Mytilus edulis: one gene and its partners. The protein of the gene in region 2 interacts with the protein of the main gene of each other region in a pairwise test. Links are inferred from orthologs where the notes say so. Each region holds a gene or a part of one and is shown on either strand. Other genes may lie near its edges.

What was found. The genes of interacting proteins can lie anywhere in the genome.
Region 1: the proteins of golgin subfamily A member 2-like (region 2) and alpha-ketoglutarate-dependent dioxygenase alkB homolog 3-like interact in binary tests that used the Homo sapiens proteins (3 or more experiments, as listed by UniProt). The link is inferred for Mytilus edulis from reciprocal best matches to the Homo sapiens genes GOLGA2 and ALKBH3.
Region 3: the proteins of golgin subfamily A member 2-like (region 2) and cyclin-H-like interact in binary tests that used the Homo sapiens proteins (3 or more experiments, as listed by UniProt). The link is inferred for Mytilus edulis from reciprocal best matches to the Homo sapiens genes GOLGA2 and CCNH.

What each region holds. Positions count from the first base shown.
Region 1 is NC_092353.1:42,728,063-42,734,905, reverse strand, and holds the start of alpha-ketoglutarate-dependent dioxygenase alkB homolog 3-like, read left to right. Parts: upstream 1-3,842; 5' UTR 3,843-4,078; coding exon 4,079-4,252; intron 4,253-6,843. UniProt on the Homo sapiens protein: Dioxygenase that mediates demethylation of DNA and RNA containing 1-methyladenosine (m1A). Repairs alkylated DNA containing 1-methyladenosine (m1A) and 3-methylcytosine (m3C) by oxidative demethylation. Has a strong preference for single-stranded DNA.
Region 2 is NC_092345.1:23,876,992-23,884,665, forward strand, and holds the start of golgin subfamily A member 2-like, read right to left. Parts: upstream 3,001-7,674; 5' UTR 2,924-3,000; coding exon 2,876-2,923; intron 918-2,875; coding exon 756-917; intron 285-755; coding exon 232-284; intron 1-231. UniProt on the Homo sapiens protein: Peripheral membrane component of the cis-Golgi stack that acts as a membrane skeleton that maintains the structure of the Golgi apparatus, and as a vesicle thether that facilitates vesicle fusion to the Golgi membrane.
Region 3 is NC_092345.1:45,276,619-45,284,372, reverse strand, and holds the start of cyclin-H-like, read left to right. Parts: upstream 1-4,753; 5' UTR 4,754-4,948; exon of another isoform or gene 4,949-5,128; intron 5,129-7,754. UniProt on the Homo sapiens protein: Regulates CDK7, the catalytic subunit of the CDK-activating kinase (CAK) enzymatic complex. CAK activates the cyclin-associated kinases CDK1, CDK2, CDK4 and CDK6 by threonine phosphorylation.

The DNA of each region.
Region 1 (6,843 bases), on a different chromosome or scaffold from region 2:
TTAAAAACAAAAAAAGGGCTTAATTAAACAGTGCATTATATTTTCATTTTTTTTCTTTCTGATCATTGCAATATATAGACACTTTGTGCTGATGTGAAATCATGAACATTTACAAAGCAGCAATTAACCATTCTCTGAGCAGACATGGAGTCATTAATTACTTTCCAATTACTTGGTAGATGTAATAAATTGCTTCAATTACCATGATTACTACATTTTGTACTATGATTACCTGATTACTTTTAAAATGAAAATTTAGATAAAATATTGAAAACATGAATTTATTCTATGATATGTATATAATAGACTTTAAGTATCTTGTACATCATTTGTACATTGGTTTATAGTAATATAACAAATGAGATCTATTATGAGGGTAGTAATGCCCTTTACCGTCAGGCATCAAATGTCCATTTTCTGCTACCGTTAGCGTCAAATTGATTTAAATTTTACTGTGATTTGTCAAAATATCCTAATCGTGATTCGTCAGAGGTCTCAAATAATTATCGTTTCTGTTATTTTTAGAAAGAAATTAACGTGATTCGTCAAAATCATTCCATTTTTCTATCGTCTAAAAGAAAGTGCATGTTTTATCATCATGCACCAATTACTGTTAACGTCATTTGGCAAGAATTTTTACCGTTATTCGTCATGAAGGTACCCCCATTACCACCCTCTATCATGTCTACAGTGAGTCTGACTATTTTTAGATTCTATTATTCAGCCTGAGTATCAAAGAAGATAAAAAGTGTGCTACAGGAAAAAAGAAAATAACATTCACGAATCTGAAGTGCACATAAAACATTGTTTATCAGGAATAGTTAAGACTGTTGCTAGATTTAATGTTTATTTTAAAATGCTCAAAATGATTACAAACCATATTTGATATGATACATGTACATGTAGGTATCATATAGATAATTTTCCTCGTCTCATGGGTTTTCGTTCTATTAATAATGACTTGTGATGTCACAACTATGCATAGTACTGATTCATATGACGTACAAAAACATATGATCTGACCATAATACTAATAGAAATTAGGAATACCCCATCCCCTAAATCTGCCTCATGGCTTTGTAAAAGAAAGGATTTGCATAGTAAGATGATCTATACATGTTCTTTGTTAAAATTTGAAAATTAAATTGTTGTTAGTACCATGAAATTGTTTATGTTAAATATTAAACAGTAAATATGAACTATCATGATATTAATACTAAATTATTTAGTAAATAAATAACTCTAATACTATAATATTCATTGCTAAACTTTAACTTAAAGTATAGTTTGATTCCTTACATCCAGGTGAATTGGACACTGGTGGGTAGTTGTCTAATTGACAATCTTGTCAATCTTGTCACATCTCTTTATTTGTATATCATATGATGATATCAAAGAGAAAATTGCTTATAATTATTCAATAACCTACAGCTATTTATTCTAACATGGTAAAATCTAAAGAAGAAATTTAAATGGATAAAACCCGAGAATATCTAATTACCTAATCAGATTGTGAAGCTTGAGGGTACATTTAAAAGTATAACTAAATACCATTTTTTTTTTATTAAATAAAGCAAAGCACAGCATACCTTACAGATGTTATAACTCATACAATTATAGATATAATATGAATTGCTCAGGAACTGAATTTATTGATATTTGTGTTCGGTGTTTAATCTTTTTTCTCTTGACCATATTATTATCTGTTGTCGGTATTTCGTCGACCTGTGCTTTTATTGGTCTCTTGACATCTTCTTTCTTTTCATTTTTTAAATGATTGTTGATGTTGAAATATACATGTCCTTTTATCTATAAGGAAAACGAGAAAGTTCGTGAGAAAATGTGCTAAAAACTAGTCACAAGTTTTATGAAGATATTTGTCATTTTCGTTTGTTGAGGTCTGGCGAAATACTGCTGTAACTTTGTTCAAGGAATTGTATATTTGTACACCTTAAAACAAAAGGAAACATATTTGATTATATACAGATGACTGAATTTGGTTATAATAATCACTAAATAATAAATATCATAATTAATTCATAGGATTGTCATCATAAAGTTGTTTTTTTAGAAATATATATTAAATGTGTTACTGAGTAGTCCGATGCACTAACCACTACACAACGGCTCTCTAATAAATACATAAGTTTCTAAAAGGCATTTAAGATGCTTTCAATTTTATGCATACAAATATTTTTTTGTTGAAAATTTCACTTTAAAGGAAGAATTCAAATCATTCAAAAAAAGCTATATACGTTAAGGTATTTATACATTGATCATTCATCTTTTCCTTTTTTTTCTTCTCATTTTTTTCTTTCTTTTTTCTTTTTCTTTTTTCTTGTAAAGCGATTTGAATCATTTGATTGATATTTTTTTAATGTTCAACATTGATCTACAAGCCCTAAGCATTCACGATCCTTGGAGATTACCATTGTGTAAACTCAAACTGAGATAGGAGATAGTTAAACTTACGAATCTTTTTTTTTTTTTGCATTTAAGAAAGAATAAAGGTTATTAGTAAAAAGTTCGTTCTGAACATACATGAAATATTTGCCACTGAAAATTAAATAAGCAACAATCATTTCAGTAACGTTCGTTTACAAAATCAAACTCAAGTTATTTCTTTTTAATTTCATTTTTACCTCTCTTGTATTCTTTTAATGACCGTGCCAATGTAAGTATTGTAAGTATGCAATTACATAATAGACACAAGAGTCTACTCGTGTTGACTGTTTCATTTTGTAATTATATAAAATGCAAATAGGCAAAAATCATTGCCACAGTTGACACTGAAACAAAGCGAAATATACGTCATGTGTTGCCGTTTTTTTTGTTTTTTTTTTTAAATAATTGTAAGCTACCGAGGTGACTACTGAGATATCTGAGCCAAACTTCCAAGCCAAATCTATGTATTTGTGAAAGTGTGTATAGGGTTTACAGAATAATGCCATGATAGTGGGCGAAAGGTACAGAATAAACGACTAAAACAATTAAAGAATAGAAAAATAGGTAAATCTATAAAAAAATAAAAAAAATAAAAAAATAGTGATTTAATGGGGCTAAAATAGAAACAATAGAGTAAAATGATCTCAACAATTAATGAATGAATACAGAGGTTAACCCCAACCCCTCCAACCACCACCACCACCACCACCACCACCACCCCACCCCCCGTTTTTCCTACCGTGAGAAACTGTCCATTTTAATTGTTGGTATTGGCTTTGAACTATCTGTCAGTAACTGTTGAGTACCCTCAGATCTGTAATTAGTGTCTTTTTGTTGTTGGGATGTACAAGTCTTGTACATACCAACATCGAACGGTACTCGGCCACGTCCACTCAGTGTTTTTGTTAGATGTATTTCTTTTTGTATTCATCAGATGAGACGTGCCTGCCTTTTCCAACTGGTTTTTTTTTATAGTTTGTTCATATATATTACGGTTCTGTAATGCCACTGTCCCAGGTTAGGGGTAGTTGGGATCCCGCTAACCTGGTATGTTTAACCATGCCACATTCTGTATGTAACCGTGCAGTATATGTGCCTGTCCCAATTAAGTTCAAGAGCCTGTAATTCAGTGTTTGTTGTTGTTTTGCTGTGTTACATATTTGTTTTTGTTCATTATTTGTACATAACTTAGGTTTTCTCTTCTGAATTGTTTGCACTTGTCATTTCTGGACTTGTATTGAAAGATAACTTGGGCGTGACTAAAATGTTTATGAATTAAACGACGTACACAATAAAGAAATCGTCTTCTTATAGAAAGACAATAACAATCAAAACAAAGGAGTAAATTTTAATAGTTAAATCATTTCCTTTGAAAAAAAGTGCATTTGAAATTCAAGGAATATAAAAATTGGTGGTCCCCATCCAGACCATCAAAATGTCATTAGTTAGTTATGATGCGCTGTAGTTTTAACATTTAAGTTGGTTTTAAGTTAAATTTATTTTGTTTCTGTAACAGTAAATTTTCATAAGTGCTTTCATCTGCAAATAAAATGGCGGCGCCCATGGATACATCCGGTTGATGAGATAAACACAAAAATTATAAATATTTTAATTTTTTTTCTTACAATCCAAGATGAATACAGATCGCAAACGTCGATCCAGAGTTCAAGGTGGTTGGGCTGCACCATCAAATGTCAGATCGGACAGAAACAAACCCCAAGTTCCTCAAGCTCCAGCTTGGACTGGAAAAAATGTTGATCAAGTCCAACATACTGAAAAGAAATTTATGTTCCAAGAATCTGAAGAGGTATTAACGAAATGTAAAATGAGGACATATATATCACTTTATATTCAATAATAATTTCTATGGGAAATGCAGGGTTTCAGTTTATTGTTAGGCTCTGATGAGAGGATTTTGGTCTTGTCACAAAAAATTCTTCCAGTACATCTAATAATAATATCATGATATCTAATATGAGGCAGGAATTACCTGTGAATGGAGAAGTTTATGATTATTTTTTTTTTAAATCAACACTGTTAAAATGAGAAACAGAAATAACGCAACGTTTCCGATTTTGGTTCTGTTGTTAGGGATAATATGAGGCAGGCATTACCTGTAAATGGGGACGAAGTCTGTATGAATTATTTTTTTGTAACTTAATTATTTGTCAAAAAAAAAGACACGGAAATACCGTAACGTTTCCGATTTTGGTTCTGTTGTTAGGGATTTTAGTTGTGACGTTATTTAAATTATGACGTCATATGCAATGTAAACAAAGAAACGCTATCATTAGGTAACGTTTTTTCATATCAAGGAATTATTAAAAATGAAATTGGTATTGCGAGTTCCTTCCTGTTTTATACTAGACTGATAAATATATATTTTACTCAAAGTTTCATACAAACGGGACCGGAAAAAGGAAGTATATTGAACATTTCTGCGCCGGTCTGGGATTTCAAAACACGACACAAAAAATTTGAACGATTTTGAGTTCATTAGTACAATGAAAAATTCGGGAAATTTTCCCATATTTTTTTTTTTATTGAATTTTCTACTGTTATTGGGGACTCCGTCCCCATAATATGAGGCAGGCATTACCTGTAAATGGGGACGAAGTCTGTATGAATTATTTTTTTGTAACTTTAATATTTGTTAAACAAAAGAAATGGAAATACCGTAACGTTTCCCGGATTTTGGTTCTGATGTTAGGGATTTTAGTTGTGACGTTATTAAAGTTATGACGTCATATACAATGTAAACAAAGAAATGCTATCATCAGGTAACGTTTTTTCATATCGAGGAATTATTAAAAATGAAATTGGTATTGCGTTCCTTCCTATTTTATACAAGACTGATAAATATATATTTTACTCAAAGTTTCATACAAACGAGACCGGTAAAGAAAGTACATTGTAGATTTCTGTGCAGATCCGGAAATTCAAAAACGCGACAAAAAAAAATTGAATGATTTTTGAGTTCATTAGTACAATGAAAATATCGGGAAAATTTTCCCGATTTTTTTTTTTTTTTTTTTTATTGAATTTTCTACTGTTAATGGGGACTTCGTCCCCATATTAATTGTGACGTTATTTAAGGTATGACGTCATATTCAATGTAAACAAAAAAACACTGTCATCAGGTAACATTTTTTTAATAACAAACATTTTTTTTTTAATGAATTAGTATTAGTTCCTTTCTTAGACTGATAAATATACATTTTATTCAAAGTCTCATGTAAACAAGACCGGAAACGGAAGTAGATTTCTGCGCCGATCCAGAAATTCAAAAACGTGACAAAAAAAAAAATTGAACGATTTTGAGTTCATTAGTACAAATAAAAATTCGGGAAATTTTCCCGATTTTTTTTTTTTTATTGAATTTTCTACTGTAATAAATGACTCTAGTTTTCCGTAACGTTTTTTATATTTTGATGATGCAGTTGTCAATTGCACATTAACTTGACTTGTTATGTCATAAATCTACTCATTTGCTACTGTTGAATAGGGTTCTTCACGGTTAGTTCTGCCATATTTGATATATATATATAGGGGGCAGATTTTTTAGAAAGAGGTGCAGATACATTTGTAGTATGAAAGTGTGGGAAATCTTATGCATTTTTCCAAGCAACTGCTCTGTTTTACACACCATTTTTACCTCTGTTATGAAAATCTGCCCCTATCCAATATGGCTGAACTAACCGTGAAGAGCGTTATTAGCTAATATGAGGCAGGCATTACCTTAGTCCAAATAATTATGACGTCTTGGAAGGCTATTTTAAATTTTTGCTTTAAGGCGTAAGGCATCAAAGAAAGAAAAAAAATAACCTTTCAAGATGTCATAATTATTTGGACTAGCATAACCTGTGAAAGGGGACGAAGTCTGTAAGAATGATTTTTTTGTAACTTCAAAATTGTTAAAAAAGAAAGGGAAATACCATAACATTTCAGATTAAGGTTCTGTTGTTATAGATTTTACTTCTTACGTTATTTAAGATATGATGTCATGTTCAATGTTAACAAAGAAACGTGATCATCAGGTAAAGTTAATTCATTTCAAAGACAAAGATTTATTAAAAATGAAATTGGGATTGTGTTACTTTAGTATACTCAAAGTCTCATGACAAAGAGACAGGAAAAAGGAAGTAGATTTTTGTGTTCCTCACAAATGTGGGAATTAAAAGTGACCAAAAAAAAGTTAACGATTTTTAGTTCATAAGTACATGTACATTGAAAATTTCGGGAAATTTTCTTGATGTTTTTTTTTCATTATTTTTTTTATTGATTTTTCTACTGTAATATGGGACTCTATCCCCTTATGAACACGAAGAAACAAAGTTCATTTCAAATGACAAGGGACTTTGTCCCCTTAAATGAACACAAAGAAACAAAGTTCATTTC
Region 2 (7,674 bases):
TCAAGTAAATAAGAAAATCGCGAATTTTAAAAGGCGCGAAACGGACTAGAATTGGTAAAACGCGAAATAAAGTATCCGCGAAAATAAGTTGGTTTACAGTATGTTCATTTGTGTGTTTACATGCACATATGTTGAATATGTCTATAAAAAGAAAAAAGGATGCAAACTTTTAATCATATGAAATATCTACATTGTACATATTGTAGGATGTTTGGTGTATATTTAACCTACTTTAGATCTTCACTATCTTTTCTGTTTTCTATGGAGTCTGGAGAATCTTTGGTCTGAATTTAAATAGGAGACTTTCAGATTACTAAATCTACACACATACAAGCAAATGTAAATACAAATGTATATAACTTTTTTTACATACTTATAAAATTCTACAATAACACTAAACTTCTTTAATAACATACAGGTATTCATCTAATAACTGTCATTGTTGGTTGACTAACAAGTGTAGACAAGTGAGCATTACTTGGATATATATGCTAGTGAGGAATTATACAATAAATATTAAATCTATAAGAAATATTTGCTCTCTCAAAGAATATCTAATATCTAATGTAGAAAATTTTGTTTTATTCATAATTTAAAAAAAAATCTACTACATACTGAAATTGAAACATGTCCTATCAGTAAATGTATCTATTACAAAAACATTAATTACATCATTACAGATAGAATATGTTTTACTCAGATCTTATCTGCTTTAGAATAACAAGGTACAAATGTTTGTCTTGAAAGTGTTTTACCTGGATTATATCTGTTGCAGAATTACCATTTAGGTTTTGGAATGTGTTTTCAGCTGTATGCTTAATTTCATTTTCTGGGTTCTGTGTACTTTCGTCATTAATCTTAGACTTTTTAGCATTTGCTGGAGAAGTTTTCCCAGTTTTCTTCTTAAACTGGTTCAACTGAAACAGAAATATAAAATTTATCCATTCATTACTGCAATTTAATTAATTATAATATGCCAGTCAAAACCAATAATCTTTCAGTTCACTAAGTTCCAAATTAAATATCTCTTTTCACATTTATGTTTTCTAGTTAGCATGGTTAGTGAGTCGACTCATGCTCCTGTCACGAGAGCATTCAATAAAGTATTATTTTCTTTTCATGAATATAACAATTTAATTTGTAAATTTTTGCTGCATATCAATCAATCCCTTTGGAATTTTCCCCCAAACTTCTCTAACCTAGCTGTATACATTTGTCCATATGCAGATAAAATCGCATGTTCCAGAACAGTAATTTGTATTGTAGAAAGTTTTAGGAAAATTCCTTTCCAAAACAAAACACCTGTCAACCCAATTAATGCACAAACACACACAATATAAAATAGTATGGACAATTCAATTGTAACCAATATGTCTTAAAATGCAATTTCCCACTGCTCAGTATATATTTAGCAGCATACCAGTCAACCTCTGAAACCTTTAAAGAGGGAGATCTCCCCTGCTTTGTCATAGATTTTGCATGAACGACATTTTCAAGTTAAATACATTTGTATATGACCTGTTTCTACAAAACTCCAACAAAAGTTAAATAAATATACTTTTTTCTTTGATTCACTGTTATAATCTATACAAGCTTGGGTTTTCAGCCTGTTTCAACACCTTCTACAATGTTCAAGTCTCATAGCTCATAATATTCCATATTTTGATTTCTTTATATATATATATGAGTTCTTTACTATTTACAAGCACGCTTACAAACATCGAACAGACCACCAGCAGAAATTCAATGATTTGAAAAAAGATTTATTGCCTAGTGAACTTGGTCATAAAAATTAAAATAAATCATTCAAATCTGCTCGACATTAGGATTTGCATTCATCTATATCTTTTTTACTCTGCCGCTTGATCTAGACAGACCTCTATCTTATTGGACTGGAGTTTACATTAGGGAGCTACCATTTGATTTTTATGGGGGGGGGGGGGGGCTAGGATGAAAAATGTTGTCCTGAATTTTTTTTTAGTTGTAATCTCTGTCCTGCCTTTTTATTTTTCACTCTATTCTGTCCTGCATTTTTTTTAGTTTATCCTGACTTTGTTAACCTAAATTGTCATCCTGACTTTTTTTTTGCAAGTGTCTCATCCTGCCTTTTTTTTTTAATCAAAATTCCTGTCCTGCCTATTTTTTTCAAATTTCATCCTAGCCCCCCCCCCCCATAAAAATCAAATGGTAGCTCCCTTACATAGCAGGACTGAATTGTGATTCCTAATTATATATGGAAGGGACATTAAAAATTCTGTCAGACCTAAGTTTTCAAATGATTGCTGATTGTTAGGTTTATTTCTATATTGAAATCAATGAATAAGTCATGAGAAATACAATCTTCGGTTATTCTAGGTCAAAATATAAAAGCAAGATATAATTTCGTCGTTTGCACAGGGGTATCCTACTCAAAACAAGACTCAGAGGGTTGGTAGGTATGTTTCGAGGCGTCTGTCTTGTACATTTGCAGAAGTGCTAGAATTGATCACTGTTGATTAACTGTTTTTACCACCAAGTTGCGGACCAAGGCTCCTACGCTCCAGCTCATTTTGCCTTAATGATCATATCAGTTATGCTGATTAATACTATATCACAGCAAACAGACAGTCCCTATTAATTTAATAACATGTATCAGCTCATTTGAGCTGATGTTTTCTTTATTTGCCGACTCTAAATAAAGCTTATTTTTTTATTATTGTGTGCATAAACGAACTGATGAACCGGCTGCTGTCAAAATAAAAGAAGAGAGAAAGAAAGAAAATATACAGAAACCAAACTGTACATATCGGTCATTTGATTTGGAAAAAATGCTCTTCCTTTACTGTACAATATATATAAATTGAGTGATAAAGGGATAATGGAATAGGATGATAACCTTCTTCCTAGCAGCAGCGATTTTCTCCCGTTTCGCAGTGTCGGCCATTCTTTACCGGATATTGCATGTGCGTGCGCATTTTCATGACACGCAGTCAGTTTGTAAAGAATCTACACGTTTAAAACGTTTTCAGGTAACTTTTTCAGTCTTGTACAACTAAAAATTACATTAACTTTCAAAAATCAAACGTTTTGCACTCCTTGTAGGAAAAGAAGTTTAGATACAGTTTACGACAGCTTTTCGGAGCATCTCTGTCTGTTTCCATAGATAAAAATGGCGCGAAAGTGAGAAGACCACAAATTTTTACCCTGAAGATCTTTGAGCTGTTTAATAAAGTAAGTCCACATTACTATATCTTGAATTTCATACTTAATATAAAACATATGAAAACGAGTTGCCTCTATCAAGCACGCTCCAGTTCAAAATTGTTAAATCCAAAATAATTTAAACAGTTATCAGTCAGTAGAAATTTTAATTTTATCTTCATTATATGTTTATGTGTTAAGAATCAGAATGTATTGTTTATTGTTGTCATTATGTCCCGCCAGGGGCCCTTAATTGGAAATAAAGAACTTTGAACTTATAATTAAGGATTTGTATATCCTTGTTATAATTTATTATAATAATTTATTTTATCATTATTAATTTGACATTAATTTGATTTCAAAAATTTATACTGTTCATGTAAACAGCACCTTTATGAGAGTCCTAAAGGGGATACCTACATGACGAACAATGGTAAAAATTCTTGCTGAATGAAGTGAACCAGTAATTTTTATGATAAAACGTACACTTTCTTTTATAGTCCAATATATACATTGTATTATAGGTTCATGTACATCATACAATCATTAGTATGAAATTAATGTTGATTGTTCTGCTCCATGTGCATGTTGCGGGTGCTGTGATTAGCAATAGAATATTTGTTTGTTTGTACATTTATATATAAGTTTTGTTTTTATACGACCCCAAAAAATTTTTGGGATTGGGCCTAAAATAAAATTTCATTTGTTTGGCATTGCCGCCCGACCCACTGAAAAACTTGCCGCCCAAATAATTTTATTTGCGTTTCAGAAATATATTTTTTTTAATTTAAAAATATCGAAATTGTGCCGGAAATTGATCGTATCCACCGAGTTTGTTCCTGGCTTTACTTATTTCAAATCATGATCTTAAAAGCGCTTGCCTTACACTGTATTGGGAGCAAACATTTAAATGACATGAAATAGAAAAAGTCTGCCAAAAGTAATATCAAAGAGGCCGGCAGGGGAAGGCATCTCCCTATGCTGCAATGTTAAAACCCATTCAAGGCGTATGATGCCATTATAAGGCATCACCTTGGTACCGCCGTATGATGCCTTAATGCATCACCTTGCTACGGCCGCGTGATGCCATAATGCATCATGGAAAACGAAAAATACTCTGACCTACTTTCAGTTTTAATATTAGATCAATTACGTAAAGCTGTAAAGCGTACGTTACCACAATGTGTGAACAGGTTTCAATTATTAATATTATGTATAAATTTTGACAATAAAAGTCATTGGTATGTCATTTCTTCGTACTTTCGATTTGCGTTCATGATAAAATAATATGCCGCCATTTTTTTTAATTTTGTTGACATGTGTAGTCAACGTGATCGCTTTAAAAAATGAAAGGTCATATCCTTACACACAAAATATTTAAACCATGTGTGTACCGCTGTTTTAAAAATTAATAATATTTACTTATGACTGTTTAATAAAAAAGATAAGCCGGTAATGGCTGTCTCTTTCTGTATCATCTTCGCATGTTGTTGATTTACGCTCTGTTGACGATCGGAAGATGGATTTTATCAAAATTCAAATTTCAGCTATTCTTTGAAAGAAACGTTCTGAGAGACCTTGTAGAGGACTCAGATTTATCTTTTGTAAAGCAGAAACAGATGATTTCTGCTTGAATTTGTCGCTTCATGAGATAGAAGTTTTTCACCGGGACATCACAGAACAAATATGCGTGGCTCTTACATTTGATGAACTTATTAAATATTTGAAATTTATCATTGACAAATTTTCCCTTGAACCAGAGAACAAAGTATCTACTATAGTCAGACCCACAATGATGCATTCAAGATAATTATGGCTGTAAGCACCAAAGCTTAAAGACCATAATGATTTACAGGTTTATAGTAGTTTTGTACCAGTAGATGCTAGCCTGGAACAAAACATACATATTTTAAAGACTAGCATCTTGTGTCAATTGAAGTACTTCCCCCTTTTCTTGCCTTTCTTCTTAACATGAATAAGATAATTCTTAAAACATAAAAGATACTGACAGAAACATATTTATAAATGAATCCAGTGTACTAGTGATGAATAAAATCCCCTCTTTTTCCACAATTCTAAGGGCTCATTAATTTATCTGTATTCATGTAATGCATGTCCAGATTTCTGTTAATCAAACAAGCATTACAACCAATAATTTATTTATCTGCAAAAATTGTCTGTCCTGCTGCATAATTCCATTTTGAATTTATCATACGTTTTAAATCCCTGAAAAACCTTGCACTTGGATAATATTAGTATAAACACCATGTCTATTTGTGCCAACCTTCCAAATTTTTGATATTTTGCTATCCTAATTTGGAACAGATCCTTTATCCTCAAAACTTATCAGGCATGTTTTTATTGTAGTTCGTCACACCTTACATGTATGATTACTAGCCTCCAGGTATTGGTTTGAGCCCTAGTTGGGCAGTTGCAAAATTAAGGTTTGATTTTCATGTCAGATGTGATAAGGTTAGTCAGTTTCCTCCCACAGGTTGCCATTTTCCTTCAAGTACTACGGTTTAGTATGGCACTAAAACTGACTGCCATGAAATTACCCATATGGTGTAGAAAGTGATGTTTATAAAACCAAAGCAAAGTTTTAAATCTTTGTCCATTTGTACAAGGAGCCGTAGTGGTTGAGCCATTTAAATTATGGTAATTTTACCAAACTGTGACCACAACTTCAAGATGTGACATCAGGCCTCTGTTCAATGGGCAGTCCCACAATAAAAGTTCAATTTTCATGTCATACATTTTATATGGTTAATTTGTCAGTTTCCTGCCTCAGTTCTGTGTTTTTTTTCTGGGTACTTTGGTTAACTTTGCCAATAAAACTGACTGTCTTACGTGAAATTATCCATATGATGTAGAATGTGACATTGATGGTTGACTCCTTTCAAAGAAACCACCAGCATGTACACACAACAATGCTGCAATGCTTGAGACAACATTGATCTGGAGACTTCATGATTTACATGTATAAGGCTTTTAAATGTAAAAAAAAAAAAATCCCTACCTACCTACCCACCTGCTGATAGTGTGGGTCGGCAATGCCAAACAAACAATATTTTAAGGGTGGCCTTGTATAATGGTATGATGACTGATGTCGTCGTCGTCCGAAGACACTTTGGTTTCCTGAAAATAACTTTTGTTTAAGTGAATAGATCTTTTATGAAATTTTTTCAGAAGGTTCAATACACCAAAAGGAAGGTTGGGATCAGTTTTGGGGATGATGGTCCCAACCATTTAGGAATTAGGGGCCCAAAAGGGGCCTAAAACAAGCATTTTTCTAGTTTCAGGAGTATAACTTGTGCACAAGTATTTTAATTGCTCTGAAATTAAACCGCAATGTTTAAAACCACAAGTAGAAGGTTTGGATTCATTTTAGGGATTATGGGGCCAAAGTTTAGGAATTCAGAACCAAAACGAGCATTTTCTAGTTTCCAGACAATTACTTGTGTGTATTTGTATGGATCTCTCTGAAATTGTACCACAATGTACCATATAACAAAGGGGAGACTGGGATTAAGTTTTGGGTTAATTGCCCCAAAATTGTAGGAATAAGGGGCCAAAAAGAAGCATGCATGTTTCTAGTTTCCAAACAATCATGACAATAAGTTGTGTTTAAGTGTATGGATCTCTCTAATATTGTACTACAAGGTTCAATACTACAAAGGAAAGCATGGGATTGAGTTTAAGGGTTATTGCCCCAAGGGGGGTTTCAAAAAGTTTGGGGGGGAGGGGGGATTTTGCTTTTACCATTTTTTAAAGGGATTTCTTTTTTTTCAGAATTTTTTAAATTTCGAATTCTGAAAAGTTTCAAGAAGAAATTTTCAATTGCACAGTATTGTGCAATAGATTTGTTAGATTTTTGACCACATTAATTTTGTGACAAAAACCTATATTATGTCAAAAATTTGATCACAATCCAAATTCTGACAGTATCAAGCTTGAATATTGTGACTAAATTTGCCCCAACTGTTCAGGGTTCGACCACTGGGGATAAAGCTGTGCCCTGCGGAGCACCTGGTTTAATAAGTATATTTATGTGATTAGAAATTGCTTTACAACGTTCCAAGATGAGGGGTCAAGAGAAACCATTGGCTTATGAAAACTTTATCAGTTTAAATATTGCAGTAACTGTTCTCTCAAAGACTTTTTAGCATCATGATAATATGATGCTTATAGATTAGATGGTGTTGATGATGTGATGCTATGATTTCTTGAAGCCAGATTTTATTTCAAATTATCCTTTTTACCAGGATTATACATGTTTATGTGATTTTATGTGACAATGTTCTATTGTTCTGACAAACTGAATTACTGAACTGTTATTATTGAATGTAAATGTAAAAGTAGAACATGTATCAGGATTTCTTGTTTATTGTTGTAAATAAAGAACATTAGAATTTCTTGTACATTTTGACAGTTGTATATAGATATCTAATGAAAAGTGTAAATATTTATATGTAGAAATCAAAATGGAAGGTT
Region 3 (7,754 bases), about 21 Mb from region 2:
ATACCAAGAATAATACTGGGCCCAGAACTGTGCCTTGAGGGACACCTGATGTGACTGGGGCTAGGTCAGATGACTCTCCATCCAGGACAACTGTTTGTGTTCTGTCATTTAAGAAGGCAGAGACCCAGTTTAAAGTTTCATTTTGGATACCGTAATAGTGTAATTTATAGAGTTATCTTTCATGAGGAACTTTGTCAAAGGTTTTGACAAAGTCCATTATAATTAAGTCTATTTGAGTGTTGTTGTTATCATTTGCTGCAAGTTCTTGGATGAATGAAATGAGTTGAGTTTCGCAAGATCTAGACTGACGGAAGCCATGCTGGATGTCATACAGTATATTGTTCGTTTCAAGATGGTTGATGATTTGTTTAGTGATGATATGCTCCATAAGTTTACAGAAAATACATGTCAATGATATAGGACGGTAATTTTCTGGTTTATATTTTCCCCCTTTTTTAAGTACTGGTGCTACGTTGGCGTGTTTCCAGTCTGATGGTATAAAGCAAGTTTCAAGTGATGTTTTGAAGATAAGTGTAAGAATTGGAGCTGTTTGGTCATTGAGTTCTTTAAGTATTCTGCCTCTGATATTGTCTGGGCCGGTTGCCTTTTGTGGGTTTATAGTGTGTAGGAGTTTCTTGACACCAGGTTAAGATATTTCGAGTGGTGTTATCACAGGATGTGAAAGGAAAAGAGGGACGAAAGATACCAAATGGACAGTCAAACTCATAAATCTAAAACAAACTGACAACGACATGGCTAAAAATGAAAAAGACAAACAGAAAAAACAATAGTACACATGACACAACATAGAAAACTAAAGAATAAACAACACGAACCCCACCAAAAACTAGGGGTGATCTCAGGTGCTCCGGAAGGGTAAGCAGATCCTGCTCCACATGTGGCACCCGTCGTGTTGCTTATGTGATTACAAATCCGGTAAATAGTCTAATTCGGTAGGTCACATTCATGAAAGGGAAGGGGATTGTAGCTACGACGTAAAGAACATATCCGATATCATTTGTGAACCGGTTATTCCATAACGGTCAACCAACTCGTGATGGCGTCCGTAAAATTTACGAAGGGATGATTTCAACTTCACCATTTGGAACTCTTGGTTTAATAGCTTTCTTGTGAGCAGTAACCCTCTATCAAGAAAATCATGATAGGAAATGCAAGCACGGGAATATCGTATCAATTGGGAGATATATACCCCGTATGCAGGTGCTGCTTGAATGTGGCTACTTAGAAATGGAAAGTTCACAATTGGAAAGTTGAAATCATCTCTTTTGTCGTAAAGTTTTGTTTTCAACCGACCCTCATTGTCAATTTCTAGATGTAAGTCAAGATATGAAGCCGACTTAACTGTATCTGTAGTATCCTTTATCTCCAATTCGATGAGATAGATGCGTTCCACATAGTCACCAACTTTTGAATTGTTTAGTGAAAGAACGTCATCTAAATAGCGGAAAGTAGAGTTAAAGGATATTGCTAACTTCTTATCTTTCTTCCTAAGAAGTTCCTGCATGAAGTCAGCCTCATAATAATAAAGAAACAAGTCGGCAAGTAGAGGGGCACAGTTTGTTCCCATTGGGATGCCGACAGTCTGTTGAAAAATACGTCCTCCGAACGTTACAAACATGTTGTCAATCAAGAAATCAAGCATCTTGATAATATCGGTTTCAGAGAATTTTATTGTTTGAATCAGAGTGATTCTTTACAAAGTATGATTTATCCCTCCCTAAGACAAGATACTTGTATCTACGTTGGCCATTCTTTTTTATGAAGCAAAGTAATACCAAATCTTTCAATTTGTCTTTTAGTTTGGAATGTGGAATACTTGTGTAAAGAGTAGAAAAGTCAAATGTTTTAATACTGTTACAAGATGAAAGAGAGTTAGATTGTATGTACTCTAAAAGATCTTTGGAATTTTTAAGTATCCACATCTGATTCCCGCCACCTCTAGAATAGGCAGTTTCACAATAACTTTGAAGCTCGTCTTTGATTGCTGATAAAATAGATGTTAATAATTTAGAAAGAGGTTTCGTGGAGCACTTGGAAGACCCAGCAATATACCGTTGTTTGTAAGGACACTTATGTAGTTTAGGTATCCAATACAGTGATGGAAGATCCAGTTCTTCATCTTTGGTTGAAATACCAAAGGAACAAAGAACAGACCTATGATTATCCAGGATTTCCTCTTTGGTAATTGTCGTGAGGGTATATGTTGAGTTTCCAAGTGAATTGTCTATACCTAATTCGTTTATCAAGCAATTAATGTAGTGACTTTTACAGACAAAAACGATGTTATTTGGGGCTTTGTCTGCGGGGACAACAACATATTTATCATGGAGGTCGGATAAGTGTTTAGCAACATTTGGGTCTTTAAAGATTGACGTAGCATGGGCATTGGTGGACCCATTCAGTTTCTTGATTCTAATTTGTATTAACGACCTCACTGCCTTAATCCATTCGGATAGAGTGTCTACGTCTTCCTTTTCACGTTTAGCCCATTGCCTGGCATAATCCTCGACTGAGTCCATCAAAATTTTAAAGTTGTATTTCCAATTGATGGATTTAGGCTCACGATATTTCGGACCTTTCGATAACACATTTCGTAGAGAAGTGTTATTAGCAATGTTAAGGTCACCGGTAATAACGTGGCCAGCAGGATTATATATGAATTGGGAACTAGCACAAGTGCAATCAGGAGGTTTAGACTTGAAGTCGTCAATATCAAGATTCTGCAAAACGCGTTTGTAATTGAAAATTTTAGTTGCAATAGGTTTGGTATAGGTATAAGAAATTATTGGTACAGACTAGTCTTTGAAATAAGGAGGTATTTTCGATTGAACTAATTTATGATGAAGGATATTGCCTAGGTTGACGCCATCGAGACCTTTGTTGGCAAAGGAAAGATTTAGAAAAGATTTTTTCTCTTTTTCATCTTTTCCAATGCGAACTGGCTTGAAAAGTCTGTGACTTGCAATATCCGAAATTATAGCTTGAAGTTTGTATTGGTTTGAATGAGGGTTTGTAACAGTGGATTCCAAACATAAATTGAACAGAGAATGAAGTTTTGAAAGGGGTAATGAATAAAGTTTCGTGCGAATGTGATGAATACCTAACGGCTTTTGTATGAATGACAGCAAGTCATTAATAGAGACATCATGCAGGGAAGGTGATGTATAATGACGATGACCATGACTGCGTCTACGTCGAGGAGTCGAGTTGAAAATATTCATCACATTCACCGAGTTACACGAAGGACTAGATAGAATACCTATACCATCAATTTTGTCATTGCAGCCATACGGTGTTGCAGTTCCCAATTGTCTAATCCAGTAGTCTTCTTTTTGTCTACGGAGAGTCGTTGAAATATTAGGATTGTTAGAGCTATGGTATATCTTTTCGATAATGCGAACTGTCATAGAAACGATGGAATGATCGGGCTGATTGAAATGCTGGTATAGAATGTCGTTAGCATTGAGGTTAATGTCTGATCTATGACCGCACATACGTTTGTTTAGCCTTCCTTTCGTTTCACCGACGTATACCAATCCGCAAAGGTTGCACAAAGGTGTGAGCTAGGACCTTTGTCTGGAATGGTGTTATTTGATTCAGTTGTAAACACTGATTGGAATTGTGTGTTGAGGATGTCTGCCTTTTGCTTTGTATCATCTATTAACTGTCCTTTTTTTAGTGGTGCGACACCGTTGTTATCTGTGCTCAGTGATTTAATAAAGGAAAATAGCTTTTTAGGTTTAGATTGATTGTTGCACTGTTGGTCTGGTTCATTTATGGGTAGGTCTAATATCATTTTTTCAATATAACCCCAGTATGCAGTTCTTTGTTCTTTTTGTACTTGTTTTCTCAGACGTCGGTACTTTTCAGCATACCTGGTGTCTTGTTTCATTTTATGATATAGCTTGTTTTTTTCTATTTATCATTTTCCTTAAATTGTTGTGAATCCAAGGTAGTCTATTTTTGTATGTTAGGAACTTATGAGGAATGTTGTTTTCCACCGATTTTGTAAGGTTTGTTTTAAATGTGTCAACTTCCACATGTCATTTACATTTGTTTTGTCCTCTAGGTTTAGTAGATCTTTGTATGTTTTTTCTAGATCTGATTTGATGTTACTCCAGTTAGATTTGTTGTATTTCAATATTTTTCTAGGTTTTTCTCTCACCCTGCGCAACCAAATGTCAGATTCTACATAAACAATGTCGTGGTCACTAAGGCCTATTGGTGGTAGTGTACTAACCTTGTTAATGTTGGATGGATTATTGACTAGTACTAAATCTAAAAAAAAATCTTTCCGTGTTGTTATGTTCACTATAATTTGATGAAAGTTTCTATCGATAATTTTTATAGCACTCTACTGTGCTGAGAAAGGAAATCATCAGTCAGTGAGATCAAAGCAACATTTCGTAAATTAGCTACAAATACATTTCTAACGACAAAACATATCATTTATCTATATGTTTAACTTAACAAATATTTTCGGTTATCAATAAAAAGCGCAAGGAAATACCTGAGGCAACATATATAACATCGCTATAACCTCTCAGTGTTATCAGTGAGGGCTCAGCCAATGCAAAAATATCTTGATACATTAAGTATTTATACGTTTTCCTAAAATTCAAATCATATACTGAAAGAGTTGTTCATGAATAATATCGCTAAGCCGCGCGCGATCTCTACCAGGAACGGTCGAAAATTACGTCATCGATCAATCAGTTTAAACTGAGACGTAATAGCAGACGAAGCATTGTACCATATAGGAAATTTAAGGGAAGTTGCACGAATTCGGAAGTTGTGTGTTACGGATATTTTCATGAAAAGATACAGATAAATGCCATATATAGTACAATCCACTTCAATCAGTGAATATTCTACGACGATCGAGCATTTGTATATTTACAAAGCCTTGTGACGACACAGTATAGCGGTACGGCAAAATAATGTGCTCCTCTTAACGGAGGAAGTTAGAGGTTTCTATTTGGACACAGGTCAAAGCGTTCTGTTAGTTTCTTTCCCCTGTCCACAATAAACGCATACTTTTTTTCAAAATAAATAATTTTTCGAGGTTTATGTGAAAGGTATGCAGAAAACTGGACAGTCTTTACAGGTAAGTTTACAGATGAAAAGAATAATGCTACAGTACCCAATATTCACCCAATGTGAAAGCAACGTAAATCTAGATTTTCAACTCTTTTTTTCCGTCGTCTTCTCTCATTCTCCGTCTACAAGTCTAGTGTACTTATAACATTCTTTTAAAGAATCCAGTCCTTAGCATGGAAGAAGAAAAAGAAGAAGAAATTATCATGATTATGTCCAAGAGAGGATTATCTACAATAGAGATTACCCTGTCATCACGACAAAGATTGAAGATTATGTCTCAAAATGCATAAAAAACACACCGAACAAATATGACTAATATTATCCTAAGATGATACTTTCCATTGACCTAAGTGCTATTTGTCTGCCATTACTGGAAGTCACAACAGATGTACCCATTCCAGTTTAAATTTTGGTCTGGGGACAGAGATGTGTGTGGGAGGGTAAAAATCACCCTTCTGATGTACTGACAGGGGCGTAGCTAGCTATTCATTCAACTGTAGTCACAAATCGGCAGGGGGTCTGGAGGCCACTTATGAATTATGGGTAATAAGTAGCATTTAACCATTGGTTAAGTAACTTATCCAGTGGCTTACTAACCATGCTAACCAGACTCCCATTTAACCATGGAGCAATGGAAAAATAGCCAACGGATAGTAAGCCACTGGATAACATAATTAGCCGTTGGATAAGCTAACCAATGGTTAAATTTAGCCATAGATTTGAGCAACCCAGTCCAGGTAGGGGGTTCAGGGGGGGGCGAAACCCCCTGACTGAAAATGGTTTTCAGCGTTTTAGCTGCAAAATTTTATGTACTAAAATATTAAATTTACTGGTTATTTAATCATGATAATTATAAAATACATGATGAAAATTTCGTAGAATTATGAATAATGTACCATAACATCTGACTGGTGAAAATTTTTAAATAACACAGTACAATCCGTAATATAAAGAAAAATATTTACAATATGCATTGCCCAGCGTAGATCAGCGTATCCCTTTAATTTTAGCAGTACACCCTGTTTTGTATTATCATATCTATTCCGTTCTGATTGATATATACGTTAACTTAATTAATAGTACATATTGACGATCCTTCATTAAAAAAGATAGGCATGTAAACACTGATACTACAAATGTACTATATAATAGAACTATCCTTTTGGCTAGACATCAACCATCAATCTTTTGAATCTTAAACCTTCACCCTAAGGCCTAACAAAATTCAAATTTCTTTATATATCCTCTTCTGTAAAATCCCTACCTGCTTAGGAATTTTGAATAATTGTGGCCATTACACGCAGATTTGAGAGTACTCAAAATTACTGGAAGCCAGTTGATTGATTGATTTGTTTACATCCAGTGTCAAATATTTATGCAATTTCAGGACCGTTGAATTTTCTTTTTGCAATAAATACAACTTGGAGCTAGGTCCTGTAATAGGTGTCATCCAGGACGAAGGTCTGGAAATTTAAAAATACCATGCATTGGAAAATGAGGGATTATTGGATAGGAGCAGAAGTTTTGCCTTTCAGTAGACCAACTACGAACTCCTTAAATAGTTGCATTCTCTCTACAACTAGGCATCTGATTTAATGTTCCCATTCTGACCAGATGTGACTGCGTATTTATACATCCTGCACACCCAAACAGATGACCAACATTGGCATTTCGGGTGAAGACAATGTGGTAAACTATTTGAAAACTGACAACAACTAATTAAAAAACTCATGTGTCTAAGTTAAGGTTCATTCAAGTTTTTGTTGATAGAAGTGAAATGATCTGAGCAAAGTTATAGTTTTAACATGTTTAATATAGTTTTTATATAATGTAAAATCGTAAAAACATTAAATTCTATCTCATATTCCATTCACTCAAGGAGGAGAGACTAGTGTACACATGACATTGGATAATTTAAGAGTTTTGACAACTTCACCAGCTTTCATCTACAGATAATGTTGTTTATTATTTTTTTTTGATAAAAAAATATAAATGTGAAAAAATTATGTGTAGGCACGTGCCTAAAGTGCCTAACGGCAGCTACCCACCCCCCTGACTGATAGTTTGAGCTCCCAGAGTCAAAATCAAACTCAGAACCCTAAGCACAGTAGACATCTGTATATCAACCTCTTAGACCACAAACCCACACTAAAAGTGCTACAACCTTTTCATCCTCCACATACATTTGTACACCTTATCGCTATCTACTGGACATCACACAGGTTCCCGTAAAATTTTAACGTCATATAAGACATAATACAAAATATCTGAAACCACAATGGAAAAGTGATTGTTGTATGATGTCAATAGTTCAAGCAGGACAGATTCTCAGGTCCACCTGGAACAGTCAGAGCTCAGACATAAATAAGTCTGAATCTGCTTTTGACTCATAGAGGTCTAAATTTGTAAGTTTTAGGATTAGTCTCCCCTTAATGCAAGACAAAATATGACTTTAATAAGTCAAATCTTGTTAAGCAAGAAATAATTGACCACAATCAAAAAGTTGCATATATCGACTCCTACAAGTCGATAAGTGATCAAAATTGGTTAACTTCAAGACCCACGCATATTTATAAGGAGGTCATGCATCTAAATCAAATAATGACAACATTGAAAGACAATGCTTTGTCTTC